Yarrowia lipolytica: one gene and its partners. The protein of the gene in region 1 binds, or shares a complex with, the protein of each later gene. Links are inferred from orthologs where the notes say so. Each region holds a gene or a part of one and is shown in the gene's direction. Other genes may lie near its edges. The genes, in order: YALI1_D12750g, YALI1_E34870g and YALI1_B02881g.

What was found.
Region 2: YALI1_D12750g (region 1) and YALI1_E34870g share a complex: the UniProt entries of both Schizosaccharomyces pombe proteins name them as parts of the mitochondrial large ribosomal subunit. The link is inferred for Yarrowia lipolytica from reciprocal best matches to the Schizosaccharomyces pombe genes mrpl23 and rtc6.
Region 3: YALI1_D12750g (region 1) and YALI1_B02881g share a complex: the UniProt entries of both Schizosaccharomyces pombe proteins name them as parts of the mitochondrial large ribosomal subunit. The link is inferred for Yarrowia lipolytica from reciprocal best matches to the Schizosaccharomyces pombe genes mrpl23 and mrpl7.

What each region holds. Positions count from the first base shown.
Region 1 is NC_090773.1:1,273,741-1,276,160, forward strand, and holds YALI1_D12750g (mitochondrial 54S ribosomal protein uL13m), read left to right. Parts: upstream 1-1,317; coding exon 1,318-1,338; intron 1,339-1,413; coding exon 1,414-1,857; downstream 1,858-2,420. Other genes in the region: YALI1_D12760g (uncharacterized protein), read left to right, coding at 2,337-2,420. UniProt on the Schizosaccharomyces pombe protein: Component of the mitochondrial ribosome (mitoribosome), a dedicated translation machinery responsible for the synthesis of mitochondrial genome-encoded proteins, including at least some of the essential transmembrane subunits of the mitochondrial respiratory chain.
Region 2 is NC_090774.1:3,485,974-3,487,899, forward strand, and holds YALI1_E34870g (uncharacterized protein), read left to right. Parts: upstream 1-1,002; coding exon 1,003-1,179; intron 1,180-1,266; coding exon 1,267-1,338; downstream 1,339-1,926. Other genes in the region: YALI1_E34880g (uncharacterized protein), read right to left, coding at 1,760-1,926. UniProt on the Schizosaccharomyces pombe protein: Component of the mitochondrial ribosome (mitoribosome), a dedicated translation machinery responsible for the synthesis of mitochondrial genome-encoded proteins, including at least some of the essential transmembrane subunits of the mitochondrial respiratory chain.
Region 3 is NC_090771.1:286,786-289,711, forward strand, and holds YALI1_B02881g (mitochondrial 54S ribosomal protein uL5m), read left to right. Parts: upstream 1-1,382; coding exon 1,383-2,276; downstream 2,277-2,926. Other genes in the region: YALI1_B02874g (uncharacterized protein), read right to left, coding at 1-628; YALI1_B02910g (uncharacterized protein), read right to left, coding at 2,551-2,926. UniProt on the Schizosaccharomyces pombe protein: Component of the mitochondrial ribosome (mitoribosome), a dedicated translation machinery responsible for the synthesis of mitochondrial genome-encoded proteins, including at least some of the essential transmembrane subunits of the mitochondrial respiratory chain.

The sequences.
Region 1 (2,420 bases):
GATGACCAATCACTTGGCGCAGCCTCTTGTCTCTTGCGGATACCGTTCCCGATTAGACGGACCAACTGCACGTAAACTGGGTTTCTGGGTGGCCCTTGTTCGGCGTTTCGTTGCTGCAGAAAGACAAGACGAAATCTGAAAAAATCTGAAAAACTACACCTCCCACCTGTGAACTAACGCGGCAGTGAGAATGACCATGATATAGCAATTTCGGAGTAGATACGACGAAAAAACATAGAGAAGGAACCCCGCCACCATTAACGCGACCACTCAAACAACCTCTATACCCTCCATGATAGCCCCCATGGCACCTCGGGTACAGTACGTCACATAAAACCGTGTCCTCTCCCCTCGCCTTGGCTAACATCTCCTCTCCTGCCTCACCAATGTCTTACCCAGCCAAATGGAGGCCGCATTTCTGAGGCGTCAGAATTAATTTGGTGCTATTAATCACTGATGATAGGTGGACTTGGCCTGGTACAAATTCCGATATTTAAAAGGGGGTGACTGGTTGCAATTTTTTTATGTATATATTATATATATACATTACAGTATATATACAACAATATATATACAGTATATATATTTTTATATTAGCTTGTTTGTCTCGTTTTTTTTTTTCCTCCCCCATATTCTAAAATAAGAATCCAACAACAAAACACACAAAGGCAGGTTTAAAAAAGGTCGATTAACTGGATTTTTTGGTTCTAAAAAAAGACGGACCCTCTCCAACATAAAAGAAACCTGCAACTCTTCCTGACCAAAAAAAAAAAAAAAAAAAAAAAAAAAAAAGGAAATCCAACATATTACGAGTACGAGTATGAGTACTTAACCATCTCACAAAAATCGATTGCCATTCTCCGTCGAGATCATGACCCAGTTCTAAATGTATCAACAGACAATCTTAAGGCGTCAAATACAACTGACCGACTGGAGTATAAGTTGGTGATTAGCTAATCAAAAGACACCAACAACAATACCATTGCACTCAGAACAGAACCCCGATGTATTCCATCAATATCCATCTTTTATATCTCTCAGCTCTCCTGAAGTTATCGATCCAGCTATGAGGATCATTTTCCTTCCAACAGCTTCATTTGGACCACAAAACAATGACGTGGCATCAGAAGGGCTTCTTCACAGGCCATCAGCTCATTTCTCAGTTCATCTCCTCCTGGAAGCTCTCGTATTCATACTTGTACTTGTACTACTGTCTATCGCCATACTCCCGAATAAAGTTGCTTACTCATCTCCTCCCACAACCCTCATCCCGCTCAAATTAACGTTCGAAAATTTCACACACCATCACGAATCAACATGTCACAGACTATTGGTAAAGTGAGTATTTGAGCGGCGGAAGCAGGTGTCTTCTGAGCAAATCGTCAACATACCCTTGTTTTCTTACTAACCCAGGCACGTCTGGCTTTTTCCAGAACCTGGCACTTTGTGGACGTGGCCAAGGAGCAGCGAACCCTTGGTCGACTGGCCACCTCCATCGCCCAGACTCTCCAGGGTAAACACAAGCCCGTGTACAACACCGGCCACGACTGCGGCGACTATGTGGTTGTCGTGAACGCCGACAAGCTGCGATTTTCGGGCTCCAAGCTGCAGCAGAAGGAATACTTTGTGCAGTCGTCTCAGCCTGGTCACTCTCACCATGTGGCTGTCAAGCGAGTGATTGAGAACCAGGGAGTCAGCGAGGTTCTGCGACGAACCGTTGCCGGTATGCTGCCCCGAAACAAGCTCAAGCGGGGCCGAATCGCCCGGCTCAAGGTCTTTGAGGGCACCGAGCATCCCTACAAGCAGAACCTCGTGGCCTACCATGACGAGGCTGGCGTTGTGGTCAAGAAGGATTAAATGGAGGAAACGGAACTTTGTATATAGAGCATAAGAATGTTGATATGACTTAAACGGGGCGGAATAGGGTGTGTTGGAGCTCTGGTCTGGGCTTAGGAGCAGTAGGTGATCCCTTGAACTTGTACCGGAACTTGTAGCCAACTGGGGTGTTTGAAGTATCACGTGAGCATTTGTAATAACATACAATGGTTCTGTTGCTGTTCCTGCTATACAGTACTTATCAACTATAGTATCATCGCCTCTGGATGGTTTGACATGTTATAGCGTCTCAGATCAGACTTCAGACGATGGGTATTAGTAATACGTGAGCACGGACACAACAAGAAGCAGTTAATTATACAAGAGAAGAGAAGTAGACAGATTTTGATAGGGGCAATCGATTAGTCAGCGTCTAATAATACTACCCCTCTATTCCTTTCATCCTCATTCGTTCTAGGGCACAATGTACTCGGTTCTTTCAAAATCGGGTTGCTCACATCATGGGTTTAAGTTGCAACCCAATCGCTTCATTATCACCATCACCAATGTCGGTCGAGCCGAAATACAAAATCATCCAGCGGTTC
Region 2 (1,926 bases), on another chromosome or scaffold:
GAGTCTATATCTTGTGAAGGTATGTCTACCAGAGTTGAGGTAAAATGAGCCTGAATGTCATGCCAACAATGGATGGTTGTGTTGATGATTCCAATGACATTCTTTGTTTTGTAGATATGACAGCGCTAAAATCAATCAACAGGTTCAAACGGAGCTCTCTGTGCTCGTGTCTCCAACAAACGTGCAAGTATTTCTCAAAGCGCAATCTCGATAATCTCTCTGTCGAACTGTCATGGGACCAATAACTCCACTACTAAACGAGACAGTTGAAAAGTTTCGATCCTGTTGCTTTCACAAAACCATACTGATATCACACCACGAGGATGTGGCAGTTCCACCCAGTCTACATTAATTACACGTGCTACGAGTACCGGCAGCACAGTATGTACGAGTCGTTGATTGTTGTTAGATCAACCAAGCAAGTCCAATTGGGTATTTAACAATTACAAATTGCACAAACCCCTGCTCGGTATATTTCTTGGTCATTCAAAGGATACTATGGGCAAGATATCTCCACATGTAAGTTAGAGGTCTTACCCGATCGCGTTATCAAGGTCCCGTGGGTACCTAATTATATCCCCAAGCTCGAGTATTTGTTGCAATCACGAACTTAGCACGCGGCTGATGAGTGCTTTTCCGGTATAGCCCAGCAATATCATACCACTCACATACCCTAATGGTGAGTTAAGGCCGTGGAGAATTAAATCCGAGACATATGTTGGACAGCGTGATGAGTATGAATTACACCAGATTGTAGTCGGATTTTCGCTTAGTCCCGTCCATTTTTTTCACACTTCTCCGACTACTATTTCGAGTCATTCTTATGACATACGTACGGAAGTCTCTCGTGTGTGCCCACATGTTCCGTGCAGTCCCAAATATACATAACCCTGGTGGCTAAAGCTGGACCGTGGCGCCAAAAGTTTATATTGTTTGAAGTGCGAACTTTGAAAAATTCACACAACATAAAAGCGTTGCAAAGACCAGACAATCAAATTCGCAATGTTCAACGTCCTTCGATCCATTAGCCGAGTTCCGGCCATGATTACTCTTCAGCGACCCTCCCTGTTCCAGACCGCTGGCCAGGTGTCTCGACCGGCCGTGAATGCCGCTGCCGCCATCACCGTCCGAGGAATGAAGACCAAGTCTGCCGTGCGAAAGCGATGCCCCGACTGCTACGTAAGTATCCATCCACAAGAGTTTTTCGTGACACTGTTCACTAGGATCAAGTGATTCCGCCCCTTCTAGACACGTTACTAATATCAGATTGTCACTCGAAAGGGTCGAGTTTTCAACTACTGCAAGACCCACCCTCGACACAAGCAGCGACAGGGTTAAATGATGCTATTTATTGTAATTGTACATATTTCTGATTTACCAAGGGAGTGTGGGGGCGAAATTGCGTACACTGGTTTCGATGTGGACGGAGTGGATGTGTAGATAGGTACTGTATTCAGTTTGCCGCCTGATCGGATGGCCACAGAAGGACAGAAATTGGAGATCTTACAGAACATGTACCGTCAAAATAATAAATCAACGCTTACACATCTCAAAACTTCAACTCTTTCAAAAGTTCACTACTTGTACAATTGTAGTTGCTTAGCTACTCATTATCTGAGCACATACACTGCAGTACTGATTTATCATCTCTATACATTGCTCACTAGTTCTGCCAAGTTTGCTTACTTCATTGATCAATTGATCATAAATTATTCTATAATATTTTGCATGTACATGTGACTACTGTAGCACTCATGACTTAGTCAACCTCCACCACGGTAGGGCACTTGCCGCCGCAATGGGCAGCACCCTCACCTGCGACAGGGAAACCTCCAGAGACTCCGTAAAACTTCATCAAGATAGGGTTGGAAAAACTCTCAAGCTCCTTCTGCTTATCGGAGTATTCTTCACTGGCACTGGATTGTG
Region 3 (2,926 bases), on another chromosome or scaffold:
CCAGCTCATCAGATTGCTTGAGCCGATCGTCTCCCATCCGAGACATAAACACAGACTCCCGTCGAGCCACGTCATTGTGTCGTTTGAGCTCCTCAGACGCCCACACGTCCTCCACATGTTGGAGTTCCTTCTCGACCTGAGCTAAAGGAGCTCCCCAATCAATGGCAGCCGCAGGGTCGACCGGGGAACCCAGAGACACACTGTTAACACTGGAACCCCGTCTATGACCCCGCTTGAAATTTCCAACGGGACTCAGATGACATTGATCAAGGATAAGTGACACCCGGTTCAATGTACCCTCCCACTCTGCACAAGACAGATCGTGGATAGAGCGATATGAGTCTTCTTTGACGTCCTGAGTCTCGTCTCTGTGCTCCTGCTTCAAAGGAGATGACACTGCCGGTTTCGTCGGCCGAGTCGGACTGTTCGAGGCACTGTACTCCGTTGCAAATCTCGACTGAGAAGGAGTCTTCCGAGGAGGCTTACTGGGTGTGCCTTCTTCCTCCAGAGACATCTCGTACTGACTGATTTCCTGCGACAGCTCCTCATCGTCCCATAGCGGGTCGTATCCGTCTTCGAAATTCGGAATCCGCGTCAACACCGCCGGTCTCAATGGGCTGAATTTCATGGTCCTGGATGTGTCTTGATGGATTCAGTCGGCTATACTTTTTTGATACATGCAACTTAGAATATGCAGACCGAGCTGTATGGAGGGTGAAGCAATGTGTCTTGAAACGATACTAGAAACAGTGCGATTGAAATGAGAGTAACATCAACTGGATCATAGACGTCACGTGATATTTTACATAATCTATGACTGTAAGATGACTAACTAACGACCTCTTTGATTACTAATTAACCGCCCACCCACATCCCACTTCACAGTCTTCCTTATCAAGCCCAAAACACAACTCCAATACTGCATTGTAATCACCGGACAAGAATGTGCACGCCAAAAAGTCATGTAGGCGTATATTTGGTACTTACTAGTGGACATCATTACTGCGCCAAAACAGGAGATAAAGAAGGGATATTACAAAGAATTTCACCATATACAGACTGCTATTCGACTGTTTATGTGTTTTCCTATTTTTCCCCGAGTTCTGGAGAGATTTTCAAGGCAGACCCAAATATTCACGCCAAATTGCTAATTCTGTGTATATTCTAGACCGGGTAGTTTTGTTCGGGAAATTTTCTATATTAGAAGTCAATGATGTTACCAATACAAAGCCCATGTCGGTTGATTACTACTAACTAGTACCCACGCCTTTTTTTACGGATAATCACTTGCGTTTTTCATCCCTGCTTACTAACTCCCAAAGTCAATAATTTTCACTCACCTTCTTGTGCTGCGTTACACATCACGACCCTCACAACTCACAATGTCCGTGGTCTTCACCCGCTCCTTCCACGCCTCTGCGGCCGTGTCTCGAGGCGCCAAGATCTCGATCAAGCCGCCGGTTCACCATCTTTACAGATACAAAAAGAACATTCTCAAGCCGGCTTTCACCAAGACTCTTTTGACCCACCCTGGATCGATTGAGTCCAACAAGTATGTGCCCAAGAACACCCGTGTTGACCGGGTTGTCGACCACTACAACAACACGGTCGCGTCAGACATGCTGCTGATGGGCTATGTCCACGAACAGTCCGTGCGAAAGGGAAATAAGCACCGACCATGGGACTTCACTTCGCCCTACCATCTTGGACGACCTGCTCAGCCCCCTCGAGGTCCCAACAAGACCCCCACCAAGGACGTGCACCCTCGAACCTGGAAGAACATCCCTGCCATCACCAAGATCACCATCAACTGCACAGACCCCGGCACTGTTCTTGACCACGAGAAGGTGATCAACCAGAAACTCCTGCTGCAGCAGATCACCGGCTGTGCTGCTAAGGAAGTCCGGTCCCGGTCTAATATCATGACCTGGAAGCTCCGAAAGGGCTACCCCATGGGCGCCAAAGTGGAGATTACCGGCGAGAAGATTTCCGACTTTATGACCTCGTTGACAGAGCTGGTTCTGCCTCGAGCCATTGGATTCAACGGAATTCGAAATTCGTCTGGAGATAGAAACGGAAACATCGCCTTTGGTCTGATCCCTGAGGACGTCAAGAACTTCCCCGAGGTCGAGGCCAACCAGGACGCCTACCTGCAGATGTACGGAATGCACATCACCATCCACACCACCGCCCAGGCTGATTCCGAGGCCCGAGCGTTGCTGTCGGCTTTCAACTTTCCTTTCATTGGAAAGGAGAAGCATCAGGGACGATCTTAAGCGCTAATGAATGGCCTTTGGTCGCGAGTGGACTCCATCCTATCGACGACCAGGTAAATACCGGACACCCAAAAGAGTACAGATTTGTATATAGTGAGCCATGAGGCTAATAAGATGATGAATTTGAAAACAGACAGAAATCTTGCGAGTACTGTACATACTCGTAGTGACAAAGGTCTGTTGTCATAAACATTGTAGCAAACCAGATCAATTATACATACTGTACAGTAGCTACTATACCATCAAATTACTCTACCATCAAATCACTGTACCATCAAATAACCACCAACGACAGGTTGCTGACATTTTCGTCACTAACACTGGCTTCTCTGATCTTTTCGACTTCAAGCTTCTTCGCAACTCCAGTATCTTCATCAAAGCTCTCAGAAAGACCCTCAATAACGACTCCCTTGCCAGTTTTGTCGCCATTATCTTCATTATCATTCACCAGCAGAATTCCGTTTCGCAGACAATCTCGCTTCTCGTCTCTCTTATAAAAGTACAAAATGACTACCGCCATAATCGCGCAACAACAGGCACAAGCTGCGCAAGTTCCGTATCCCTTTCTGAACCTGGGAGCTTCAGAAGTGGGGAATACAAGCACCGACACCCATGCTGATGAACTCTGGCCCAGCATATTCATCATGACA